Oryctolagus cuniculus: one gene and its partners. The protein of the gene in region 2 interacts with the protein of the main gene of each other region in a biochemical or structural test. Links are inferred from orthologs where the notes say so. Each region holds a gene or a part of one and is shown on either strand. Other genes may lie near its edges.

What was found.
Region 1: the proteins of ERBB3 (region 2) and SH2B3 form a complex in vitro, tested with the Homo sapiens proteins (2 studies listed by BioGRID and IntAct, with this or other methods). The link is inferred for Oryctolagus cuniculus from reciprocal best matches to the Homo sapiens genes ERBB3 and SH2B3.
Region 3: the proteins of ERBB3 (region 2) and SH2D1A form a complex in vitro, tested with the Homo sapiens proteins (2 studies listed by BioGRID and IntAct, with this or other methods). The link is inferred for Oryctolagus cuniculus from reciprocal best matches to the Homo sapiens genes ERBB3 and SH2D1A.
Region 4: the proteins of ERBB3 (region 2) and RASA1 form a complex in vitro, tested with the Homo sapiens proteins (2 studies listed by BioGRID and IntAct, with this or other methods). The link is inferred for Oryctolagus cuniculus from reciprocal best matches to the Homo sapiens genes ERBB3 and RASA1.
Region 5: the proteins of ERBB3 (region 2) and FER form a complex in vitro, tested with the Homo sapiens proteins (2 studies listed by BioGRID and IntAct, with this or other methods). The link is inferred for Oryctolagus cuniculus from reciprocal best matches to the Homo sapiens genes ERBB3 and FER.
Region 6: the proteins of ERBB3 (region 2) and SHC3 form a complex in vitro, tested with the Homo sapiens proteins (2 studies listed by BioGRID and IntAct, with this or other methods). The link is inferred for Oryctolagus cuniculus from reciprocal best matches to the Homo sapiens genes ERBB3 and SHC3.
Region 7: the proteins of ERBB3 (region 2) and SYK form a complex in vitro, tested with the Homo sapiens proteins (2 studies listed by BioGRID and IntAct, with this or other methods). The link is inferred for Oryctolagus cuniculus from reciprocal best matches to the Homo sapiens genes ERBB3 and SYK.

The regions. Positions count from the first base shown.
Region 1 is NC_091452.1:8,875,179-8,878,660, forward strand, and holds part of SH2B3 (SH2B adapter protein 3), read left to right. Parts: intron 1-2,474; coding exon 2,475-2,576; intron 2,577-2,653; coding exon 2,654-2,745; intron 2,746-2,827; coding exon 2,828-2,916; intron 2,917-3,218; coding exon 3,219-3,433; intron 3,434-3,482. UniProt on the Homo sapiens protein: Links T-cell receptor activation signal to phospholipase C-gamma-1, GRB2 and phosphatidylinositol 3-kinase.
Region 2 is NC_091442.1:58,882,812-58,886,311, reverse strand, and holds part of ERBB3 (receptor tyrosine-protein kinase erbB-3), read right to left. Parts: intron 3,139-3,500; coding exon 2,987-3,138; intron 1,825-2,986; coding exon 1,638-1,824; intron 1,024-1,637; coding exon 898-1,023; intron 323-897; coding exon 257-322; intron 126-256; coding exon 7-125; intron 1-6. UniProt on the Homo sapiens protein: Tyrosine-protein kinase that plays an essential role as cell surface receptor for neuregulins.
Region 3 is NC_091453.1:102,156,218-102,159,717, reverse strand, and holds the end of SH2D1A (SH2 domain-containing protein 1A), read right to left. Parts: intron 3,485-3,500; coding exon 3,352-3,484; intron 1,969-3,351; coding exon 1,928-1,968; 3' UTR 221-1,927; downstream 1-220.
Region 4 is NC_091445.1:10,280,050-10,283,549, forward strand, and holds part of RASA1 (ras GTPase-activating protein 1), read left to right. Parts: intron 1-630; coding exon 631-788; intron 789-1,322; coding exon 1,323-1,399; intron 1,400-2,469; coding exon 2,470-2,642; intron 2,643-3,288; coding exon 3,289-3,448; intron 3,449-3,500. UniProt on the Homo sapiens protein: Inhibitory regulator of the Ras-cyclic AMP pathway. Stimulates the GTPase of normal but not oncogenic Ras p21; this stimulation may be further increased in the presence of NCK1.
Region 5 is NC_091445.1:31,373,146-31,377,308, forward strand, and holds the start of FER (tyrosine-protein kinase Fer), read left to right. Parts: upstream 1-1,363; 5' UTR 1,364-1,482; intron 1,483-4,163. UniProt on the Homo sapiens protein: Tyrosine-protein kinase that acts downstream of cell surface receptors for growth factors and plays a role in the regulation of the actin cytoskeleton, microtubule assembly, lamellipodia formation, cell adhesion, cell migration and chemotaxis.
Region 6 is NC_091432.1:137,986,897-137,990,855, forward strand, and holds the start of SHC3 (SHC-transforming protein 3), read right to left. Parts: upstream 2,801-3,959; 5' UTR 2,323-2,800; intron 2,316-2,322; exon of another isoform or gene 2,185-2,315; 5' UTR 1,818-2,184; coding exon 1,326-1,817; intron 1-1,325. UniProt on the Homo sapiens protein: Signaling adapter that couples activated growth factor receptors to signaling pathway in neurons. Involved in the signal transduction pathways of neurotrophin-activated Trk receptors in cortical neurons.
Region 7 is NC_091432.1:139,310,811-139,314,310, reverse strand, and holds part of SYK (tyrosine-protein kinase SYK), read right to left. Parts: intron 3,016-3,500; 5' UTR 2,968-3,015; coding exon 2,554-2,967; intron 1-2,553. UniProt on the Homo sapiens protein: Non-receptor tyrosine kinase which mediates signal transduction downstream of a variety of transmembrane receptors including classical immunoreceptors like the B-cell receptor (BCR).

The DNA of each region.
Region 1 (3,482 bases), on a different chromosome or scaffold from region 2:
GTTCGTCCATTTACCCACCAGGCTCTGGGCTGCACGGGTGACTCGGCTGTTGGTGGCATGGACCCGGGGCTTCCTCTGAGGCTTGTAGGGCCTCATCCGAGATCCCCGTCTGCCGCGGGCAGTGGGCGCGAGAGGAATGTGAGGCCGCACAGCCCTGGGGGGGACGAGGGTGCTCTCATGTTGGGGCTGTCGCCGGATCCCATCTGGCATGGCCAGCCACGCTGGGGTCTTCATGCCAGGCCCTCTGTGTCCTCTTCTGTCTCTCCAGTTCCTGCCCTAGAATCAGTCCTGCTGATCCCCCACACCTGGTGACTCCATGGCTTCTGGGGCTGCCACAGGACACAGGTCCTGCCTGTGTGTAGCGTGCCACCCCACCCTGCAGGGTCTCTGCAGTATCACCCAGTGCCGCGAGGTGCACCGTGTGCCCGTGGCCTCACCGCTACCCCCAAGTTCCAGCCCTTGCTAGAATGGAACTGCTGGGACCCTCACTCCCAGGAGGCGAGCGGGGGTAGCCCTCCCCAGGTGGGCGGAGAGCCACGGACGCCCCAGGGTTGGGCACAGCTGTGCGTACCGTCAAAGGTCTCCAGAGAGACGAGAGAGGGCAGAGCCAGAGCCAGCGCCCGGCTGTCCCCGTGAAAGCACGCACGGCTCTGCCTCCCTGCAGGCTCGCCTTGCTTTTCAGAACACGCTGTCTGCCGCAGGCCCTCTGAAAGGCGGCTGATCTCGCAGAAACTGCCTGCAGTCGGGCAGGACTGTGGGGTCCCGTGTGACTGTCACTGCGGGATGGGAAAGGGGCACGTGACAGGAAGGGCAGGGTGGGGGAGAGTGGGTGCGTCCCGGGCTGCCCCACTGAATGAGGCCTTTCACTTACACTGGCTCACCCGTCACCATAGCAACCCCAGGAAGCGCGCTCTGCCTTACGACGACTGGAGAGCAGCTTGCTCAGGACTGCCCTGGAAGTGGCAGGGTCAGGGCTGGCCCCGACAACCTAGAGGGTAAGAGAACGATCCAGTGCGGGGTAAGCCCTCCCAAGAACTGGGACAGTGTCGGAGCTCGGAGCTCCCCGACAGCCACAGCGCAGAAAGAACCGAGGCGGCGGTCGCTGCAACGGGAGCAGAGGACTTTCGCCCCAGAAGCGGCACTTGCGCCAGGTGCCGGAACGTTCTGCCGCCTCGTTCGCTCCCTCAACCCGAGTCCGTGGCCGAGCCGCCCGCCACCAGGCAGCTCAGCGGCCGACCTACCTGGGTGGCGCTGCTGCCCGCAGGGAAGCAGCCTGCAGGCAGGTGGCGGCCAGGGCGTGGAGGGGAATCCTCCCCAGTCTGCTTGCTCAGCAGTTCCGCAGCTGTGGGGGGAGGAGCTGGCAGAGAGGGGCCCCACAGAGTGAGAGCGGCGGCTTTGCTGGTTAATCTCGGCGCTCACACTGGGCCTGGGCCAGGAGCGGAACTGAAAGGGAGCCCAGGCCTGGCAGACTTCCTGGTAGGGTTCCTGAGGGCGGGCAGGCAGGGTCAGCTGCACAAGAAGGGGCGAAGCCCTTTGTAGACAGGAAATGGACGCTTTGAAGGGTTGGTCAACTGCGCCAGCAGCTAAGAGCAGCCCTCCCCCCCCCCCCCCGCCTGCCCAGCCTGTCCAGCTGCAGGGCCTTGCCCTGCCCCCTCCTGGCCGCAGCAGTGGCAGCATGGGCTGTGATTTGAGCCAAATTCTTGGAGCTGCTCTCCTTCCTCTGTCGGTTGTTAGCACATTACTGCCCCCACCCTGCTGAGGGGTGCCCAGCCCGGGAAGGGCCCTGGTGTGGTCAGCTTTCTGTGGCCAGGCCACCCCGTCTCCTCCCCAGCCATCGGCCCCCTTGTGGAGAGGGCCCGGACCAGGCCGAGGTCGTGGTCCTCGTCTGGTGGCTGTGTCCGAGGCACGATGAAGTTGCGGCTTTGGGACTGACCTTTCGAAAGACAGCCTCTGGCCATGAGGAGCCCTTTTGGGGACAGGTGGCGGTTGGAAGCGCCGGAAGCCACGGTGCTAGGAACACATCTTGGGGCCTCCGTGCTAGCTCGTGGTCCGTGAGAAAAGCAGGTGCTGGCGAGAGGGGGCCCTGCGGCCTCCTGTCCACCCCCCTTTCTAATCTGCCCCGACCTCTGTCATCAGCCATCTCCTGGCGCCTTATCACAGAAGGAAAAGATGGGTGTGGGGGGGTGGGGCCTGGCTCACCCCTTCTGAGACAACGCCCATGCCCACCCGGCAGCAGCAGGCTCCTGGGGGCAGGGGTCTGCAGGGCCAGCCCTGCTGTAGCTGGGTGCCCGCAGGCCCTGGGGACCCGGCCGGTGCTGCCACTCTGCAGCCCTGGGTGTTGCCCAGTGAGGCCACAGTGTGGGGTGTCAGAGGCCTGTTCATCGATGGCACACAGCAGGCGCCTGTGCAGGCCTGGGTGGACAGAGTGCCTGCCACCAGGGACCCGTCTTGAGTGCCCCTTCTTGGTCTCCTAGAGCTCAAAGCCCAAACTGCAAGCAGCCTGCTCCAGCATCCAGGAGGTCCGGCGGTGCACACGCCTGGAGATGCCCGACAACCTCCACACCTTCGTGCTCAAGGTGGGTCATAGAGCTGTGCATAGCCCAGGCCCCCGCGGACATGCCTCAGCCCGACAGCTGTTCCCTCCCTCTGCCAGGTGAAGGAGCGGACAGACATCATCTTCGAGGTGGGGGACGAGCAGCAGCTGAATTCGTGGCTGGCCGAGCTCCGGGCGTGCACAGGCCGAGGGTGAGGCCCGAGACCCCTGCCGCTGGCACAGCCTCTTCTGCCCTAACCTGCGCCCCCCAGTCACGTGTGGCCTCTTCTCCAGCAGGCTGGGGCACAGCGATTCAGAGCCACGTGTCCCCTCCCCCCTGGAGCCCAGCACGCCCAGGGGAAGCACAGACGCCCCTAACCAAGGTGAGTGGAGCCTCGGTCCAGGGTCAACCCATCTTCTCTTTAAGGTTTATTTATTTGAGAGAGAAATCTTCCATCTGCTGGTTCACTCCCCAAATGGCTACCGAAGCCAGGAGCTGCTTCTAGGTCTCCCACGTGGGTGGCAGGGGTCCAAGCACTGCTGCTTTCCCAGGTGCATTAGTAGGGAGCTGACTGGAAGTGGAGCAGCCGGGACTCGAACCAGGGCCCATGTGGGATGCCGGCACCGCAGGTGGCAGCTTTACCTGCTGTGCCACAGCACCGGCCCCTCCCATCTTCTCTCCCAGCTGCTGCTCCTGGGGGGCTGCTGGACCCAGCTTGCCAGAAGACGGATCATTTCCTGTCCTGCTACCCCTGGTTCCACGGCCCCATATCCAGAGTGAAGGCAGCACAGCTGGTGCAGCTGCAGGGCGCGGGTGCTCACGGAGTGTTCCTGGTGCGGCAGAGTGAGTCCCGGCGTGGGGAGTACGTGCTCACGTTCAACTTCCAGGGCAGAGCCAAGGTAGGGGGCAGGGCAGGTGGGCTGTGCCACCCTTCCCCTTGGGGCCCGG
Region 2 (3,500 bases):
ACGTACGAAGCAGTCGGTGTCCTGAGGGCCTGAGCAGCCCCCGGCGCACTCATCATGGCAGCACTGGTTGGGGTCGGGCCCAAAGCAGTGGCCGTTACACTGAGGGGCACAGATGGTCTTGGTCACTGTGGAAGGAGAGAAAGCACTGAATTCTACGGCGTTGCCCATCCCCAGCCTCAGGGCTGACACGGGCTTGGGTAGGCAGGGGCATGAAAGCCTGTGGGTTTGAGGGTTTTCGAGGGAAGTTCAAACCCACGTGTCTGGCAGTCTTCTGGTCCAGGACCCCAGCATCTCCCCTTGCAGACCTCGTGACACGGGGGACCTGATTGGGAAAGAAGGCGACAGAAGAGGCCATCAGGGCTCAGAAACGCTTGCTTGAATCAACAGCCTATGATGTCAGCACACAGGCACCTCGGCCCGGGAAACAAAGAGGCAGGGCAGTGTCCCCTCCCTGCCCTTGGAGAGCAGGGCTGGGCTCCAGTGAACCTGTCAACAAGGGGTGGAGCCACGCCTCCACACCACCCACTGGGCAGCTGAAGGGGAGGGGCTGGGGCCAATGCCAACCTCAGCCCCAGTCCCAACCCAGGAACCTGGTTCCTCCTTGGCAAACTAAATACATGCGTGTGAATGAACAGGGAGCAGCAGATCGTGGTCAGGGGAGGTAGGGCGTGTGCAGGAAAGGAGTCCAGAAACTTGGTCCCTCTGCTTTGTACACGGAGAGCTCTGGGCCCCTTTTCCTCAGCTGCTTAGGTTGGGTTCCAGGGACTGGACCCAGTCCCTCCTGTGTGGCCCTTGGCTCTGGAGCCCCAGGAGTTTACTCAGCAGGGAGGCCAGGAGGCAGGGAAGGGAGTCTCTCTGGTTTGTCTGGGGGTGGGGGGCTCAACCCCGGCCACTCACAGCTCCGGCCATTGTCCTTCACCACTATCTCAGCTCCTGGGTCCCTCACGATGTCCCTCCAGTCGATCGTGTCCATGTGACAAAGCTTGTCATTCTTCTCGATATAAACGCCCCCGGACAGAATCTCTGAGGGAGGGAAGAGAAGTGACAGGGTTAGGGGCTACTTGCTGTGGCATCCTCTCCTCTCCACCACCATCCCCCGGCTCCCATCCAAAAGGCCATTCTGGAGCAGGCGGGGGGCAGGGGGCACCGGGCAGACAGATATGTCCAGCGAAATCTCAGCGACGGAAGCGGCTCGCCTCAGAAAAGGAGGAGTCAGGCGGAAAAGCAACTCCTGCCTCCTCAGACACCTGTCCAGATCCGGTTTAGCAAGTGGGGGAAGGGAAAGGAAAGGAGGCAAGAGAACATCTCTGACTCAACACCCCCTCTCCCGAGGCCTACGTGTTTGTGTGTGTGTGTGTGTGTGTGTGTGTTTTCCAACTGACTGGGACTAGGTGATATTTAACCCTATAGACGTGAGAGGAAGCAAAGATTCCTGGGGAAGGAGGGAACAGTGCAGCTCCATCTCCAGCCCACCATGCTGTGAGGCCCTCCCCCAGGGGGTCTTGAGACCACAGAGGCCAAGGTTGCGGGGTGCCCCAGAGGGGCACCTAAAGTGGGAAGGCAGGGGTCCTCCTCCAGGAGGTCCTTGTCAGCAGGCTGGCTGTGGGGCAAGGCCAGAGGACTCCTCAAGAACTGACCGGTGAGCTGAGTGAAGCGGAGCTGGCGCAGCGCGTGGCTGGAGTTGGTATTGTAGTTCAACATGACAAAGATGGCGAACTTCCCATCGTACACCTGAGTCCCGCGCACCACTCGGAGGTTGGGCAAGGGTAGCGTAGAGAACTCGTTCATGGCCACGAGGACGTAGCCCGTCACTTCTCGGATCCACTGTGATGGAGAGCGCGTCAATGAGAGGGATGGCAGAACCAAAAAATCCCAATCCCAGGGCTGACCTTGGGGCACAGGGGGTTTAGTGGCTGCCTCTGATGCCAGCATTCCATATAGGAATGCTGGTTCTAATCCCAGCTTCTCTGCTAAGGCACCTAGAAAGACAGCGGAGGATGACCCAAGTACTTAGACCCCTGCTACTCATGTGGGAGACCGGATGGAGTTCCGGGCACCTGACTTCAGCCTGCTCCAGACCCGACTCTCGTGGCCATTTGGGGAGTGAACCAGTGGATGGCAGGTACTTCTCTTCCTGTTTCTCCTCTCTACCCATCACTGTCTTCCATTTCTTTTTTTTTTAAGTATTTATTCATTTGAACATCAGAGTTACAGAGAGTGAGGAGAAAGATCGTGCATCCTCTGGCTCACTCCCCAAATGGCTGCAATGGCCAGGGTTGGGCTACATCAAAGCCAGGAGCCAAAAGCTTCTCCCAGGTCTCCCACATGGGTGCAGGGGCCCAAGCACTTGGGCCATCCTCTACTGCTTTTCCCAGGTGTATTAGCAGGGGGCTAGATTGGAAGTGGAGCAGCTGGGACTTGAACTGGCACCCATATGGGATGCCAGCTCTGCAGAAGTTCGCTTAACCTGCTAAGCCACAGCGCCAGCCCCAACTGTCTTTCAAATAAATAAATCTTTATACAAAAAATAATAATCTTTACCTCTTCTCCCATTTAAAGACACTGAGGAATCATTAACTCTTAATTTTTTCTAAGGACTGTGTCACATGAGTGTGTCACTGCTGTGCGTGAAGACAGCAGAAGTGACTGAGAAACTCTACATCTTACCCTTTTCTTCTCAGAGTCCCTCATGCCAGGAACATCCTGGCTGAGTCTCTTCCCCATCTCCCCGGGGGGCCTCCTGGTCCTCCTTACCTTGCACCCCCTGTGCCCACCACCTGCCCTGCCCCCTTCTCATGGGTGGCCCCTGTGATGTCCCTGGCATCAACGCCCAGGCCCTAGATCCCAGGTTCCAGTCACTGTCCACATAAACGCACAGGTTTTAAATCTTCAGAACTACTGTGTCTTGGGCATACTGAACTCCAGCAGGGGGTGGTCCTGCAGAAGCAAAGGAGGCGGGGGGGGGGGGGCAGAAGCAGGCACTCACCTGCAGGAAGGAGAGATCAGCATTGTGTCCGGTGAGCACAATCTCCAGGTTCCCCATCACCACCTCACATTTCTCATAGAGCTTGTGCAGTGTCTGGTATTGGTTCTCGGCATCGCCAGTCACGCTCAGCCCGTTCAGAGTCCCAGGACACACTGTCGGCAGCGGAGGTGGGAGTGGCGCCAGGCTGGACCCAAGTTCAGCCCGGAGGCCGCCCCCTGGGGTGCCCTGCTCTTCCCCCCAACTTTCAACAGCACTGGAGGGCAGCTGACTTCTACCCTCCCAGCTGGGGGTAGACAGGGAGGCCTGGGGGTGCCCCAGATGCCCCTGCCACTCTGAAGGGGAATGTGGGAAGATCTCCTTTTGTGACCAGGCACCTCTCAGGTATGACCTTAGGGTACTAAGGGGTTAACAGAGCGGGAAGACACAGGGGATTTTTTTTTCCCTTCTCAGAAAGGAGAAGTTAGGAAAGGACCACAACTTTGATTATCCTCTCCCCCCACCCCCAACTAGGGCC
Region 3 (3,500 bases), on a different chromosome or scaffold from region 2:
AAAAGTGAGGGAAAAAAAGTTGATGAATAAAAGGCCAGCCGAAGAAGACAGGGGGTGGGCTCATCAGCTGGCAAATCTGACAATAGCACAATCAGAGAAGCACTTACCTTTCCAGGGAAGCTGTTCAATAAGATAAGTAAGATGGCCTTCATCAGTGCTTTATTTCCTTTATTAATAGCCTCTGCTCTGCATATTTTCAAAAGGAGTATTTTAAGACAAATTAGGTAAATGAAGCTTTCAAACACTTTATTAAAATGTGGAAGACCATAAATGATTCAAGATAGCTGTTTTCAAAAAAAAAAAAAAGCTCTCATAAAAGCACATGCAAACATGATTCATGTGTTTAGGATTAATCCAGAATGAGCACATTCAAGAGTAAAAATTAGCTACACATTTTATAACTTAAACTCAAGCTTCAAATAATTAAAAAATAAGAAACACATGCATTTTTGTCTAGAAAGTAGGCTTTCTGGAATCCTTTACAATTTAAAGTGATGCTCTTAATTCAAGAAATAGCAAACCATGCCCTATACCTTATCGTGACTGTACTCCACCTTGTGCACTCCCACAGCGTCGATGTTCAGTGTTCACAAATCGGACCTTGACAGCACATGGGGAGTAGTACTGTCTCTCAGCAGTCCATTAATTATTAACCAAGCCCACCAACACGCATGTACAACCTGGAACCCCAATTGATTAGTTCACAATAAAGCTCAGCCTTTTCCAGTAGACCAGAAACCACAGTATTTGTTACTTCATTCTGCCTCTAAAGGCAGACCTACCTACACATGGGGAATCTCACTTATCATGTATTTATCCACCTTTATTGTTGTTTTCTTGTGCAACTAGACAGTGAGCTATCCAAGGACAGGGATCAAGTGTTTTTATTTCTCTACCCACCGCCCCGTGCCCTCTTATGTTTGTTGGCTGAAGCAATTCAATGAGCCCTGAAGCAACCCAACATAAAATCAATCACTCAAGTCATGCAAATACAAATGTGAAAAGAAAATACTGCATAAAATTCAGACTCTCACTTAGCTTTCAATCACTTGGAATTGTTAAAAGTTAATGTAACCGTAAGCTTTCCAATGGGCTTCTAGGGATACCTAAGAGGGAGGTGCTTCCGCATGACTTACTGGAAGACCTGCAGCTGCTGAGGTTGCCCTTTAAATCAGGTTTCACGTGTAGTGGAAACAACCTGCACAGAGGCAAACTAAAAGATGAAAAGTACACTTCACCGGATTTGTAAGTTTAAATCCCGGAGCATCAAATATAGTCAATATTTAGAGCATATTTTTAATTGTGGGATTTTCAACTCCACATTAGTATGTAGATGATTACTGTACTACATCAGAACACTAGGCAAGAAGGTGGCTTTCAGAATTAAACAGAAACGCTTTGCTATTTCTCTAGTCCTTACTTTAGCAAACAGTACACAGCTTCATGAATCCCAAAAGAGCCTATGACACCATAGCTAATGGAGAACTGCATATGCCAAAGATGAAGGCTACTAACCAACATCCCTCCATACAGTCAAAGCGAAACAATTTCAAATCGGTAACTCTCAAATAATATTTCACTAAAAATGGTGCTTTTGACAAAAACTGAGTATTATTTTTATTTGTATTTGGCAAGAATTGATATCAATCTCTTATAAAGTATTCATTGTGCTTTAAATTGTTTCCCATTTGTAAATACAATAACTGAAGATAACCTAGGGAATTATTTTTTTTCCAATCCCCATTTCAAAGCTCTTCATTATCTACAAAGCCCATCTCAGCTTGAACATCAGGCTAGATGCTTCCATTAGAGGACTATGATGGTTTTAGAAATGCATTTGTAGCTCACTGAACTGTATTATCTACAATATATAAGACTTAGCATATATTTAAATTACTGAATAAAGTACAAGGTGTTTTCTTTTTCTTCATGGTGCTTTCAGGCATACATCAGGATCTTCTCTTCTCCCTAAAAAAGTAATAACAAAACTCAAGAAAAGATAAGCATTCAAACTATTTACAGCATAAGTTAACTCAAATGTATAATCAAATTTCCTACTGTATAAAATTTACAACAATATAACACGATGATACACCTTAAGCAACTATTATTTAAAACTGAGTTTTGAAGAATGGAATACTGGGCAGAAGAGAACAATTAGCCAATTAGAGTTCTATTTATATTTCCATTATTAAGGCTAAGTATTCATTAATTTAATTTGCCACTTGAGTCTAATTGTCAGTTTATGCCTGAGTCCCTGTCAAAAAATTAAAAGGACATAATGATTCATTTTCTTTTATCATAAATATTTATTGTTTCAATCAAGGCATATCCTCTTACTCCAAACAAATGATTTACCCCTTTCTTTTTTTTTTTTTTTTTTGACAGGCAGAGTTAGACAGTGAGAGAGAGAGAGAGAGAGAGAAAGGTCTTCCTTTCATCGGTTCACCCCCCAAATGGCTGCTACAGCTGGCGCACCGCACCGATCTGAAGCCAGGAGCCAGATGCTTCCTTCTGGTCTCCCATGCGGGTGCAGGGCCCAAGCACTTGGGCCATCCTCCACTGCACTCCCGGGCCACAGCAGAGAGCTGGACTGGAAAAGGAGCAACCGGGACAGAATCCGGCGCCCCAACCAAGACTAGAACCAGGGGTGCCAGCGCCACAGGCAGAGGATTAGCCTAGTGAGCCGCAGCACCGGCTATGATTTACCCCTTTCAATAGAGGCATACAGTCACGTTTCAGACCATTACAGGCATCTGCAGGTATTCATTTTAGCCTGACATACAAGCTAAAATAGCTTTGCTCAGGAGTTATAGCAGTTTGTGCCAGTGGAATAATAAAGTCCACTAATTTAATTTTCTTTACCACAATAAAATTTCATTAATTAAGCAGTACCAATTCAGACATCAGGATCACATAGACCAAGTAACATTAGCCTTTATATCCCTGAAGGGGAAAAAAAAGTTTACTAAGCAAAGGTAAAGAACAGCCGAGATATTCCCTGAAGTATCCCATCTTTCAAATTGCTAGTGTCTGAATTAGTAAAGTGAAATAGGACTTACATACCTACAAAGGGACTGAGGAGAATAAAATGGAACAATAGGGATTAAAATGTAGTGGGTTTACAGAATTGTTGACATTTTTGCACAGCTTTATTAAAAGTTTGTAGTATAGCATGTTGAAACTATAGCACATAATTACCACTCACTTGATCTTCCAGCTACCTCTACTTTCTCATTGCATCTTTCCTGAAGAACTTCTAAGTGATTGTATTGTTATAAATAGGTTAATACATAACCCTGAACTTCCAAGCCCTGTCAAAAAATAATAGTAAACCCAAATCTGTAGTACCTTGTGTACTTCGGGCTGAGGACTTCTCAACTGGATATTGCAGAGGTATTACAATGCCTTGATCTGGCTTCTGAAATGCTGAAATGAGATTTTTTATTTTCCGGAAAAATCGTTTATGTACCCCAGGTGCTGTCTGAAAAATAAAAGGC
Region 4 (3,500 bases), on a different chromosome or scaffold from region 2:
TATAAACTGGGAGAAACCAGGTTGAATTTTTGCAGAGAACAAGTTGTGTCTTGGATGAAAGTTTAGCCATAAAATTACTTTTGTATCTATTATCTCCTGAGCTGCTTTTATGTGCCAAGTATTTTCTTAGATGGTGCACATATCCTGTTTCTGATCCTTGGATCAGTCTACAGTGTAGACTCTATACTCATTAGAAGGCTGATCCAGGTCTTAAACTCTTTTGCTGTGGAATTTCCTTTAACAGTGATTGAAATCTTCCAGATAAACATAACATAGCACAGGATTTTGATTCAAGTCGTGATGGTTGTTTACTGAAGAATCCTTTTCTCTATATCATTTTCTCTATATCATTGTTTTAGGATAGAAAAAGGGACATTTCACTATGCCAGCAGGAATAAGTAACAGGAATAACTTGAGAAATAAAACTGCATATTTTAAGTCAGAAAAATTATTTTAAATGACTTTATTGTGTGTCACACAAAAAGGGGGGAAAATATAAGCAAAAATCAGATTTCCTGAAAGGAAAACAAATTATTAGAAGCTTTTATAGTGATTGCTTTTGAATTTTAATGCATAATTCTTGAAATAAAGGAATAATAACTTTTTTGTATGTACTTTTGTATTTTTTAGGTCAGCAGCCTTGTTTTACATATTGAAGAGGCCCATAAACTCCCAGTAAAACACTTTACTAATCCATATTGTAACATCTATCTGAATAGTGTCCAGGTAGCAAAAACTCATGCGAGGGAAGGGCAAAACCCAGTATGGTCAGAAGAGTTTGTCTTTGAGTAAGTCTTATTTTATTGTGACATTACATAATTTTCTTTTACCACATTGCATTCATTGCATTTTCTTTTCTCTTCTGGTTCTCTGTGTATGTAAGCTGTTAAAATAGAATACCAAGTGTAGGTGTTTTATTAACACATAATTTGTTTTCAGTTGTATGTTTACCTTTATTAGTGATACACTATCCGTGCCCTTGCTTGTTCACCTATTAGTACAAAGTAGTGTAACTGAAAAGTCTAGAAACATTGACTAGTCCACACATACAAGGTGTTTACTAGGGTTTCTAGGATTTAAGTTGAATAAATTATTAATTTAGAAGTTTAAAGTTGGTGAGGAAGGTGTATAAGTTGCTTGTCTGTGTTCTTGTTTATGAAATTAAAAAAAATGTTGTAAATCTAGTTTTAAATCCAGCACACTTTTTTTTTTTTTTTAAACATAAATAGGGGGCTTGATACCAGAACTATTAAGTACTTCAAGTAGTTTAATACCAGAACATCGAACATTTTGTTAATTCTTTTTCTTTCTTCTTGTTTTAGCGATCTTCCTCCTGACATCAATAGATTTGAAATAACTCTTAGTAATAAAACAAAGAAAAGCAAAGATCCTGATATCTGTAAGTTGATACAGAAATTCTTTCTAAAGTTAAAAGGCATGCTTTAAATAGTTTTAAAGGAACTACAGCTTAAGATGGAAATAAAAAAAAGCACCAGTGTAAAATTTGAGAATTTTTCTCTGTTACATTTTAAGTACCTAAGAAAAAAAGACCAAAATGGCTAAACTACAGATACTGTGAACTTGGTCCCCTAAAAATAACTTAAGCATTCTTCCCTCCCCAGTAAATAGGAAGAATAAGAAAATGGTAACTGTGGTCATCTTTCTATCAGGTTTCTTTCCATTCCAGCTTTCAAATTTTTATATTTTTTTTACTTTCCTGTTTTAGCATAATAAAAAGTAATCTGTTTTTAAAAATTTCTTTAAACTACAGTGTGCTATTTATTGAATTCTGGTAATCAGGTGCTCCCAATTCTTTCTCTAAGCAGCACACCTCTTCCCAGCCCGCTGCTAAGGCAGTTGGCAGTGGGATTTTAGCAGCTCACATCAGGCTGAACTAGGTTAATACCTTCTTAAAACTCAGCTTAGTGAAGGAAGCGATATACATAGACCAAATACATTAAGCAAGATCAAAGCCTGAATTTTTCTCCATAAGTAATGTTTATTCTGTAATTTCGATGCTGTTTAAATGTTTAACATTTTTAAAGTCATTTCTCATGACTTTTATGATAAAATCCAACTCTCTAAGTAATGACAGAAGCAAGACCACACCCTCTGTCTGGACTGGTTTTTCCCCCTCTACCGTTTTCTTAGCTATACTTCCAGATCTTGCTACAAGTCATCTCAAGGGTTACCAATTGGGAATGGATTTCTAGCTGTCTGGGCTGAATCAGATATGATTCTTCTGAACTGCAAGAGCATTAACCACTGGTGTAGCACTTAGCACCCAGTACTAGCACACAGCTGGTAATCAGTAAATGAAGTAGCAACTCACTATCCAACTTCTGATATTCTTAACGTTCCTCTAAAAGAAAGGATTGACACTATAGAGACTGTGAGCATCAGGAAATTTTACTTGTGTGACTAAGTAAAATGTTTTCTTCTTAGTAAGCATTTGTTTTTCTTTCAAAGTATTTATGCGTTGCCAGTTAAGCCGCTTACAGAAGGGGCATGCCACCGATGAATGGTTTTTGCTCAGCTCCCATATACCGTTAAAAGGTATTGAACCAGGATCCTTGCGTGTTCGAGCACGATATTCTATGGAAAAAATCATGCCAGAGGAAGAGTACAGTGAATTTAAAGAGGTATTAAGTATTTACTGGTCTAATCACTTTTGGTGGAATATTTTTAACAGAAATATTTTAGTTAATATAATAGCTATTAAGTTAAATATTGTAATTTCATAGCTTAGTGGTATACTGATAGCCAGAGGAGGTAAAAAATATTGCAGTAGGTTAATTTTGGTCTTAAAGGACTAGAAATATGTACACTTCAAGCTCATTCTATTTATTTTAAATTTTATTGGTTTGTTTTCATTTAATGTGAAAGGCAGAGACAAACAGGGATCTTCCGTCTGCTGGTCCACTTCCCAAATCCCCACAGTAGTCATTGCTGGGCTAGGCCACAGCTGGAAACTCCATGTGGGTCCCTGGGTGTGGCTGGCAGTGACCCAAGTACTTGAGCCATCATCTGCTTCCTCCCAGGGTGTGTGTTAGCAGCAAGCTGGATTGGAAGTAGAGAAGTCAGGATATAAAGCAGCCATTCGGACATGGGATGCAGGCATCCCAAAGAATGACTTGTTTGCGATGTCAAATGTATGGCCTTATTTTTAATAAAGTATTCATTGCAACGTATTTCTAAGTGTAAAATTAGGAAAACATATTTCATGTTTCTGTGAGAATGGTAAATGCTATAAGTACTTTTAAGTAGTCTTTCTGGTGTCATTTTTAGCTTATACTGCAAAAGGAGCTTCATGTAGTCTACGCGTTATCACATGTGTGTGGACAAGACAGAACACTACTGGCTAGCATCTTGCTGAGGATTTTTCTTCATGAAAAGCTTGAATCATTGTTGTTATGTACACTAAATGACAGAGAAATAAGCATGGAAGGTATAGTATTGGTGTTAGTATGATACTTTTAAAATTAGTTACATTTCATTAT
Region 5 (4,163 bases), on a different chromosome or scaffold from region 2:
TGGCAAGTCTAGCTTCCTTCCAAAACTAGCACTGTGACCTTGGACGAGCTCTTCACCTCGCCCTGTCCATTTGTACATGGGGATCACAATGGTGCCTATTCTTCACAAAGTCATCCGGAGAATTCAATGAAGGAAGGAGGCTTGGCCTCTGGCATGCACTCCAAGAATGCTAACCACGGCTTCTCCTCCCGCCTCTGCACGGCACAGGTGGTAATCACGTGGCTCTGCTGAGCCTCTTCGGGTTCCTCCCAGTTGCTGGGCTGCTAAACAAGGAACCCAAGCAGGATAGGAGGCGGAGGCGGGACACCCAAAGCTGTAACTCTGACGTTTCTCGAGGGTTTAAAGTGGAAGAATAAAGGTTTTTCTAAAGCATTTCATAGTGTCTCAAGGCCAGGAGAGCCAATGAGGACGTGGAGTACAATTCTGGATGGGTAAACTGTTACAGGACTAAATGTCTAAGCAATTTAAATAATAAAAAAAATCTACTCTTGATGAAATTATGGCACTGTTAACACTGTTTTGTGCTTCAGCCAGCGTGAGACAAGTTTTTGCTTTGTTACTAAACTACACCACCACCAGTTTTACTGAGAAAATGCATTATTTTTTTTTTTAAAGATTTAGTTATTTATTTGAAAGTCAGTTACACAGAGAGGAGAGGCAGAGAGAGAGAGAGAGGTCTTCCATCCGATGGTTCACTCCCCAGATGACTGCAACAGCCAGAGCTGTGCCTATCTGAAGCCAGGAGCCAGGAGCTTCTTCCAAATCTCCCACGCAGGTGCAGGGGCCCAAGCACTTGGGCCATCTTCTACTGCATTCCCAGGCCATAGCAGAGAGCTGGATGGGAAGAGTAGCAGCTAGGTCTCGAACCGGCAGCCATATGGTGCTTCAGGCCAGAGCATGAACTTGCTGCGCCACAGCGCCAGCCCCAGAAAATGTATTACTGCTCAAAGTTAGATTTAGATGCACATTGGCTCGCTGTACTGGCAAAACTGTAATCTAGGCCTAAGTACAAGGCCTTGCCTCCCCCGGTGGGAACCAGTGAAATAACAGTACGGTAGGACGCTGTGTTGCTGGTGGTGAATTAACACTCCACATCCATTTCTAAACCCTTGTCTATGTTTTCATTCCACGGAAGAGCCTACTTGTCTCCAGGCCTCTCACGGCTAAGACTCGGTGAGACTGCTCCAGCGATGAGAAACAGGAAGTCAGTGGGGCCGCCTCCTTCCTCAGAGCTACTATCTCGTTCACTGGTGCTTGTGGCCAGACTCAGCATTCCAGTTGTCTGGTTATCAGCGTTATCATAATCTAGAGCCTCTGGCCCGGATGCAGCAGTCAAGTGACTGGGCACCAGCTGAAGAACAGAGGCACTTAAAGGGCTCAAGCAGTGGAAGCCGCAGCAGTTTGCTGACCTCTGGGTCATGTGGTGTGCCCTTGAACCTGACATCCAGTAGCAGGCCCCTATCTTCTGCATCCTACAATTTTGTAAGTACCCAGTTTCCTGCTTTAAATCCCTTTCTGTCTGAATTATCTAGAATGGGTTCTGTTTCCTACTAAGAATCATACTGTGTGGATGTCAAGAAAAATGAAGATTTATATGAATTTTGGGACAAAATTCAGATATAAAATTAACATCAAAATGAAAAGAGAATAGTATGTATTCTTTCATTGGTATAAGGACACAGCCATTTACATGTTTGATTGTTTATACATACACAAATTGAAGGTCACATATGAAAATACAGTCAGTAATCGCTTCTGGGAAAGCAAAAATGGGGTCTGGGATAGAAAAGTTTTATATTTCATTTATAGACCCCTTAAATTGTTGACTTTTTTTTTACCATGCTCATGAAATACATTTTTTCAATTAAAATTTCTTTAGTTGCAAGAAAACAGCACACTTCTGTAACAAATTGAAAATAGAAGATATCCATCAAACCACCAATCTAAGATATCATTTGCATTTTTATATATCCTTTCTAAACCTTTGTTGATTCTTACAGTGGAATATGTAGGCATCACCTTATAGTCTGCTTATTGTTCTGATGACCTATAACTGACCTGACCTTTAGAACATGCTTATCATGTGCCAGGAATATCATTCTTTGAATGATATTCCATTGAAATTAAGATGTTTTTGATTTTAAGAGGCATCATTAGCTTGTGTCTCATTAAGAAAGAACTTGAGAAAAAAAAAAACCCTGCCTACTAAACTATAACACAAACAACATGATGATTTTTTTTCCAACTGAACCACGTATCTCTGGAAGTGAAGCAATTCTGTCTCCAGTCAACAGGAGGTTTCTGACACTTTGGTGCCTGACACCTGAGTGATGGTTCTGCACAAGGCTTGCATTGGTCATATCAGCCTCTCATTGCTTTTGTCTACTACAAGCTGTTTCAGCTTCTCTTGACATTGGCTGCTGTATGATAAGCTTGTGTCTTAGTCACAGCTTCCTCTCTGTGGTTGCTTCACATGAACATGTAGAATTGCAGTCTCTCCTGCAAAGATAAATGCTTGCCTTGCCAAATATCGAACTTAAGACCTCCTGCTCTATTTCTGTGCTTTTATCCATACAGAATAACTTTTGTTTCCATGGTGGATCATAATAAAGTTGTTAAGGCATTTTAAAATGACAAATTCAAATTATGTAGTAATTTATGTACTAATACAATGTATGTGAGAACCACATGAACAGTGATGGTCAGATATATATACATATATATACACATATATACACATACATACACATATGCATATATACACATATATATCCCTTTCTATAAGAAACCATCAATTTTAAGTAATAGTACAGTATCAGAGAAGTTAAAATGTGGAAATGGGATGAGAGTTTGGTGCAACACTTAGGACTTTGAGAGCTTGTTTGGAGGTTCTGGCAGGGGAGTGCAGCTACTTGTAAACCCTTGACTGAAGACCGGTCCTCCTTTAGCGGGTAAGGTCGTCCTCTTTGACCAAGGGCGCAACTTCAGGAGAGACGCACATGGAGCAGTGAGGGAGGAAGGGGACAGTCGCCTAGCCAGCCAGATCAGCCGAATCAACCCTGGTGATCAATGGGGTGACAGATGTTGCAGCCAGATCGCCCTCACATCCAGCAGTTAGGACTTTGTATGGGACAGCGGCATCACATATGGAGATTCCTGGGTTCGAATCCTGGCTCCACTTGCCATTCCAGCTTCCTGTTAATATATACCTTGGGAGGCAGCAGATGATGTCTTAAGTGCTTGAATTCCTGCCACGCTTGTTGGAGACTTGGATTAAATTCCTGGCTCCCAACTTCAGCCTGGCCTAGCCTTGCCTCTTGCCATCATTTGAGGAGTGAATCATCAGTTAGAAGATCTTTCTCTGTCTCTCTGCCTTTCAAATTAATATATTATATATATGTATATGTATATATATATATACACCAACATACATATATATGGGAAAACATGTTCCTTAGAATAGATGAAATACAAGTATAGTATTAGCCATTTGAACCTCAAATAACCTTTAACTCCATTTTATTATTCCTTAGATAAGAAAATCAAGAAGCAAAGAGATTATCAAGGTGCATAGTTACTAAAAAAGCAGGTCTTTTAAAATGCATTCAGTTTCTAGTGCCTACAGTAAGCTTAACTATTAAGCTATGCTGTCTCCTTGTTTTGCTAAAACTTTTCCTTTATTACTACATAATAGTCATAATTATAGAAGCTTAATTCCGTCAGAACAAACCAGAATCTAATTAACCATTATCAAACATTAGATATTATATTGGTTCCAATTTTTCTGTTGTAAATTTTACAGCAATTAACATAACAACACATATGGCTTTTCAGAACCCAAAGGGATGTATTTTAATTTTTTAGTTCAAAAACAGTACTCATTCTAGAGAATCTGGAAAATACATAAATCTTAAATGTGCAAACAAGACTATGATAATGTCATTACATTACTAACATGTTGATGAGTTCCTCTTGAATTTTTGCCATACATCTCTTCATACAGTTGAGATTATAATGGAAATGCCTTCCTCTATCCTACTTTATTCACTTGGAATATTAGTTTCTTGCAGCTGCTATAACAATTAGCACAAACTGTGAGTCGTCAAACTACAGAAATGGATTGTCGCAAAATTCTAGAGGCCAGAGAATGAAATCATGGTGTG
Region 6 (3,959 bases), on a different chromosome or scaffold from region 2:
TTTTTGGCCCTTGGTTACATAATTTGAATAAGCAATGCAAGATTAGTATTCATTTCCTCTTAAGATAAACCCGACCAAATGTGCATATTTCATACTGATCTCCATCCCTTTTGGTAAAACACAACAATCCAAAATCAGAAGCTAAAATGCAGGTAAAATTAAAACACAGACTCACAAGAGAAAGGGACCCAATTTGTAACACCAGTGGTCACATTCAGTTAGCCACAAAGTGAACCACGTCCTTTTTATATCTTGGCTCCAAAATGCCCACGGTCCTACATCATACCTGGGGACACATTCTGGTGAATTCTTACACTGGGTCTGAGCCAGTGTTTACATCCTGCTGGCTTCTCAATGTTACCAGCACTCCGTGGGCGGAGAGTGTGTGTCTTTTCCAATAAAAAAAGTCACGCCTTGGAGTGGCAGGACTGAAATGACAATTTGGATCCTTCCCCCACTTGCCTAGGGGTAAAGCAGCTCACTGCTACCTGGCAGACAGGAGGCAACTGGTGTTGGGCACAGTAACTGAACTGGGCTGAGGAGTTCCTTAAATAGGGGAACGTGTTTGCATAAGGCAGGAATTGGACTGACTCTATCCTCCTTTTATAATTCTTTGTGCTGGAGGGGGAACAGGCCTGTGTAGACCCTGCCTGGTGCGGCGCCCCCTGCCCGGTGAACCTATTTAAGTGGAAGACCACAGTCACTGCCCAAAACATCCCAAAGGGTCTTTTTGCTGTGGTAAAGCAAAAGCGACCCTGGTGAAAGACTTAAACACCAGAGAAAGCCTTGCGGAGGGAGAAAGTAGAACCCTTTTAAGAGAAAGCATGACAGCGTTTGGCCTGGCTTGCCGGGGCTGGGGATTCTGGCTTTGGGGGGAAGAAAACGTACCCCCTCACCCCTCTCGATCCCCTACCGCCAGGGGAGCACACAGCAGAAGTAGTGACACTCCTGCACCTGTAACCCCAGGGACTGCACAGGTATTATTAGCGTGTTCCAAGTACACCAGGTAGGCCAGACCGCCGCGGCCTGGGACACTGGCCAGATATCGGAGGAAGCCAGGCGGTGAAGGCGCGCGCAAGGAGTGGAGCCCGGGAGCAACCAGGACAGGGCGAGGTCACCCAACCGTTCCACTTCTTCCCAACCGAGGCGGAAAAGGCGCATTTGTAGTTCTCTCCTCGCGGCTGCCAAGCGAACAGCTCACTGAGGAGCGCCGCGCGACTGCCCGCCCCGAACGCGGCAGTCCTGGGCGCCCCCCGCACCCCAGGCTGCAGCGGACCTGCCTGCCCCACCGAGGTGGCCCTCGTCGGGCCCGTGCGCGCACCTACCTTGACCACGTAGGTGACTCCCGGCCCCAGCACCTGGTCGCTGGCGTGCGGCGCCCCCTGCGGGGGTCTGGGCAGCGGCTCGTCGCCCGGCCGGCCCTTCCTGGAGGCGCTCATGCTCACGGCCGGAGCGCGGGGCGCGGGGGCCGCGCTGCCGTCCGGGGCGGCCAGGCTGGGCGCGCTGCAGCTGCCCGAGAGCCGCGCGCCCGCCCGCTCCCGGGCGGCCGACGACAGGCCGCGAAGGCCGGAGCTGGAGAGTTTCAGGTGGGACACCTTGTGGAGCAGGTGGCCCAGGCTGCCGGGCCCATCGTCGGGCGCCTTGCGCAGCGCCTCGCCGGACACCAGGTAGGGCGCCGCCGCGGGGGTCGCGCGCGCCGCCGAGACCTTGCCGCCGCCGCCGCCGCCGCCGCCGCTCACCGACAGGCTGTGGAGCAGGTCATCGACCGATGTCACCGAGTCATTCCTGAAGCGGTTGTACTTGGTGCGCGGAAGCATGCCCCTCCGTGGACTCGCCACATCCGCCCGGGCGCTGCTGGTGCCGGCCCCGGCGCGGGCTGCCGCGCATAGCAGGCGAGCCGCGGGCCCCGCAGCGGGACAGAACCTGGGGGTCCCGGGACAGCCTCTTGGAGAGGGACGACAGAGCCGGGGCGCGGTGCCCTCCCGCCACTAGAAGCCAGCGCCGCGGCGGCCTCGCAGCCCGGGCCCCGGAGCCCGCTGCCTGGGGTTGCACGTTCGCTCTGCTAAAGTCATAGTTGCTCTCTGATGGAGCGCCCAGCTGCTCTGGGCTGCTCACAGCGAAATCAGACTCACTGGGAGAGGAGACCCTTCTCAACAAAGGCTCGTGAGCGCTGCAAATCACTTCCTGTTGGGAAAAAAAAAGAGAGAGAGAGAGAAGAGAAAAAACGACATCCACGCGCAGTCAGCACACTGGAGCCAATCAATTCTCAAACTGCCTTTTTCTACCTCCCCAGATATTTCCTTCCGACCGTTGGTGTCTCACCTCCCCATCCCCCCGCCTCCACCCGGCGACTGTGCCAAAGGTAAATCCAGGTCCTCAGGTGGAGCACAGGGACTTGGTGAAACCCCTTCTTCTGGGTTAGGTTTGCCTCTTCCCTGCTCAGCGCCTCTGGGTGAGCCTGCGAAAGTGACGGCGACGGGTTAAAACGTGACGAAGGCTTTTTAAGAATAAGCCTTGAGCGAATCCGGTTGGATTCTGATTGGAAAGGCAGCAGGAATTTTTGGATAGGAAACAACAACAACAAAAAGGAAATATTCACCCCCCAGGTGAACATAAAATACCAGTTTCCTGGGTTTTTCTTTTTATTTTCCAATCCACACAGCGGCCATGACGAGTGTCTGTGGCAATGCAGTTTTTCCAAAAAGAAAGAAAATCTGCCTATGAACTTCTATGCAGTGGCAATCAAGGGGCCTCCCTGCTCATTTGCAGGCGTCTTCTCCAGCCAGGGTTAAACTGAATGTCTACTTCCAAAAAAAAAAAAAAAAAAAAAAAAAAGAATGCTCCTTTGATGAGGGGTAACAGGCTCCAGAAATCCACTCCCCCCAAAAAAGGGGGAGCTGTGTTTGAAGCTTTATCCCAACTGAATGTGTTTCATCTCTGGAAAAACGCCTGAGGATCGCCACCAATACATTGCAGTGTGTGCCTTCGGTTGCTGCTTGTGACCCTGCAGTCAGGAAGGAAAAAAATGCGGTTGTTCTCATTGCACATCAAATCCACAGGAAAAAAGAAAAAAAAAAAAGCCTTCTTTTCAGGAGCCCAGCTCAGGCTTGCCAGCGCCAGCACAGGCCTGACTCCTGCCAGTCAACCAAAGCCCCCAAGAATATTCGCCCAGGACTCTGCAGCCCGCCGGCCCCTTCCTGGGCAGGCTCTGCCAGTCTTCTCAGGCATTCAGAGAACCTGCTCCACCGTGGAGACTGTCAAAGTTTTCCAGCAACTTTGGGGCGAGCAAATGCATTCACCCGCCCTGAGTCTTCTCTCGCCCGTAACTGGGCCTGTGCACCACCCGAAGTCCTTGCACCGGGCTCCGCGCACCCGGGCTTAGGGAGCGAGGCTCACGGCGAGCGCGCGGGTGCGGCCGGCGCCGCGGACGCACGGGCGCAGAGGAGCCGCGGCGTCCCCGGCGCAGCAAACGCGTCCCCGCAGCTCCCCGCCGGTGCCGCAGCCCTGGCACAACAGCCGCCCAGCATTCATTTTTTCCCTGTCCCTGGTCTGCATAGCAACAGCCAAGGCACACCCCATGGACGATGTTGATGCTTCTCAAAGTCCCCCCCCAAATCTGAAGCAAAACAGCCCTGTCATTCCCAAACCGTGATCTTCATTAGAAGCAGACAAAAGCAGCAAAATGTGAATGAATGCTGTTTGTGTGAATGAAAGGGCTAGCGAGCGAGCCAGCGATTCTGTGAATGAAGCAGGGCCTTGCAGCCGGTGCCAGGCAATCCCCTGGGCTCCGGCGGGCCTCAGCCAATGGGCGGCCGCCCCGGTGACTCATTCAACAAAGGCTCGCTCAATAGTGGAAGATTCCATTTCAATCAAAGGCGGGATCTGTTACCCCACGGCAGTGTGGGAAGAAAAAAAAAACCTACCCAGCAGGATCATAAAGATGCGAGGCTGAGGGAGAG
Region 7 (3,500 bases), on a different chromosome or scaffold from region 2:
TAAATACAAACAGTAAGACTTTTATCTGAGGATCCTCATGGAAATGGAATTAAGATACCATTTTCTGGTGCAAAAAAAAAAAAAAACCTGGAAAACCATGAATAGATTTTTCATAATATGCATTTTCCAAGAACTTTGAAGACTCCCTGTATATTACTTAAGTATCCTCAAGAGTATAGTAAAAAAAAAAAAAAAAAAAAAAAAAAAAAAAAACCAGATTGTAGAATAAGGAGACTGGCCTGTCAAAAGCTATTGCATGGCACCTGGTATAACCCACAAGGTCTAGGGCGCGGCCTCCTGCCTGCAGCCTAGATGGCCTGGCTGTCCTGTGTCGCAACCTCCAGGCAGTTGCAAGGAAAGCGCGTGTGGCTTCCCCGAGTACTCATTCCCCCACCCCAGCCTGCACCTGCACCTGCAAGAAATGGGATCACACGCATGATGGCAGAAAGCCTTGACCATGCGGACTTAACGATGGGGAAATCCAACATGGGGGAAGGGGCTGGCAGCCACGCCATTTGGTTTCTCTGTCTTTTTCGGTGGGAGAGACATAGATCATCTCATTAGTCACTGAAGAGCCAAAGTTCGATTCCTCGCATTGGAGAAGAGAAGCACTAACAACATAACTGTTGCCATCCCACAGCAGGAGCTGGAAGAAGGGAGGCAGAAGGCAGGGAGGGAGACAAGGACGGCGACAGTCATACACCACGGGGCACGCGGAACAAGGTGAACGGAGGAAAAAGCACATGGCTGTAGATCACAGGCCAGACATAGCCCTGGGCACCGGCAATGCCACGGCTGAATAGCAGGCGCATCGCGTTTTGTGGAGGAAGCCACTCTGCGAAGGCTACATGCTGTGGAATTCCCCTTACGTGACATTCTAGAAAAGGCGAAACGGTGGGGACAGGAATCAAATGAGCGGTTTCCAGGAGCTGGGACAGATGAAGGTGAGGGAGCTAATGCCTGCCTTGACGATGTAGGGATTATGTGATACCAGGCATATGTCAAAGATCATAGGACTGCACACTCAAAACGGATCAATTCACTGTGTGTAAACTCCACCCAAGAAATATGACTTACCTGACTTAATAAAGAATAAATGCATGGCCTAAGACATACCCAATGAATACGAATGAAAAATACTGAGTACATTATTGCAAAATCCCTCTGCGAGGCTGAATTTAACACAGGCCATACTGAATGAATAAACGGAGTCTCTATGGCGTCCTCAGAGGATCCATATGGCCATAAATCAGCATGCATCAAATACATAGCAAAGCACAAGACAGACCTCCCGGGAGCACAAGGAGAAGTGGTTGAGCACTTATGTCCAAGAAGAGACTATCAATCTAAACTGTTGGCTCTTGACACCAAATACTATCAAGAATGAATGTGGCAGGAGCGCAAATGGTTACAACCTCTGTCACCTTTGTAGATGGAACTCGTCAATGTATCCACATTAAACACACACACACACACACACACACACACTCATACCCTGGGCTGTGACAAACCTAGCCTTTTTAGAGTTTATCTGGCAGGCATTGCACATAAGCTTAGTTTAAGATGGGGACAGAATACTGTTGTTAGGAGAATTATTTTTCAAACCATAAAAATGTCCATCAACAAGGACTAGCTAAATAAATTTGGTACACAACAGGCAATGCCAGGCAACCAAAGACAGGGTAACTGATACATAGAAATGTCTGCAAGAGATTTAGGAAGCTATTAAATCTGGTTCCAAGCCGGTGCCGCGGCTCACTAGGCTAATTCTCCACCTTGCGGCGCCAGCACACCAGGTTCTAGTCCTGGCCAGGGCACCGGATTCCGTCCCGGTTGCCCCTCTTCCAGGCCAGCTCTCTGCTGTGGCCAGGGAGTGCAGTGGAGGATGGCCCAAGTGCTTGGGCCCTGCACCCCATGGGAGACCAGGATAAGCACCTGGCTCCTGCCATCGGATCAGCGCGGTGCGCCGGCCGCAGCGCGCCAGCAGTGGCGGCCATTGGAGGGTGAACCAACGGCAGAGGAAGACCTTTCTCTCTGTCTCTCTCTCTCTCTCACTGTCCACTCTGCCTGTCAAAAAAAAAAAATCTGGTTCCAAACAGCGGGCACACCATGACCTTGTTAGGAGAATAAATAACAATAGATGCCCAGCCATGCCTCTCCCAAAGGGCCCGCCATGAACTGGGTGGCAGGGGAATGGCTTCCTGCAGTGGAGACACCCACGTGGCTGGAGGGCAGGGGCCCACTCTCTGGGCTGTGTTTGTACAGAGGAAGGGCAGTCTTCTTGGAGCATTTGGAGCCAGGGTTGATGACTACGGAAATGGTTGCCGGGAGATTTCTTCAATAGGTTTGCAGAAGATAGAATTAAAAAAAAAAAAATTTTGTGCAAAATACTTTGAAATCCATGCACACATGGGATCTTCAAAGTTCATGGGAAATGCATATTACGAAAAAACTATGCACGGATTTGGGCGCTGTGGTATGGTTTACATGCACCATGGTTCTGCACGTGTGGGTTTATAGGGACCTATGAACTCAGGGCTGGCCACACCTCACCTGCAGGTTCCACGTCTGCTTCACGTACTCCCTGATGAGGCTCTCCTTCAAGTCCTCAAAGGGCCCGGTCTTGGGCTGCACCCCAGGGGGCCGGTTGAAGGGCGTCTTGAGGAGGCAGATGAGGCCGTCGGACTCCTGAGAGTGGTAGTGACAGAGCTCGGCGGGGCTGCTGTGTGTCCTGCCACCAGCGATGGCATAGGTCCCATTGAGCTCCCTCTCGATGGTGTAGTGGTGCGCCTTCCTCCCGTGGGCCACCGACAGGGCAAAGCCGCCCAGGTAATTGCGACTCTGGCGCAGCAGGTAGAGCCCATCAGTCATGCCTCCCTGGACCAGGTAATCCTCGGCCTCTTCCCGGGTGATGTTGCCGAAGAAGAAGGGCAGGTGGTTGGCACTGTCCACCGTGTTGCTGGCCATGGCTGTGCTGGCCCCTTAGGAGATGCAAGGGCACATGCAGGGGTCCACCTGGGGCAAGACAAAGATGGGAGTGTCGGTCAGCTTCTGTTACTGTAATGAAATGCCCAAGAAAGGATACTTTATAAAGAGGTTTACTTTGGCTCATGCTTCTAGATGTGCTGGCTCCAAATAACATAGCAAGGCTCTGGCAAAGGACTTTTGGAATATAACATATCGTGGTGGGAGCATACATGTCTGTTTATATCTCCTCTTTCCTTATAAAGCCACTAGGATCTGATCCTGAGGGCTCCACGCCATGATTTAATCCAATCTAATCACTGCCCAAAGGTTCCACCGGGGAGCAGCACACTTGGATCAAGTCCCCAGCCCCCTAGCACCATGAACACAAGACCTTGTGGATTAGACTTCCACGTGAGTGTGGGGGGACAGATTCTCAGATCACTCAATGTGAGGAGCCCAAGCAGCAAGGGGCATTTGCTAAAACCCCCTGGATCCTTTCAAACCGGAGACCTGCCAGTCCAGCTCAGAATGGA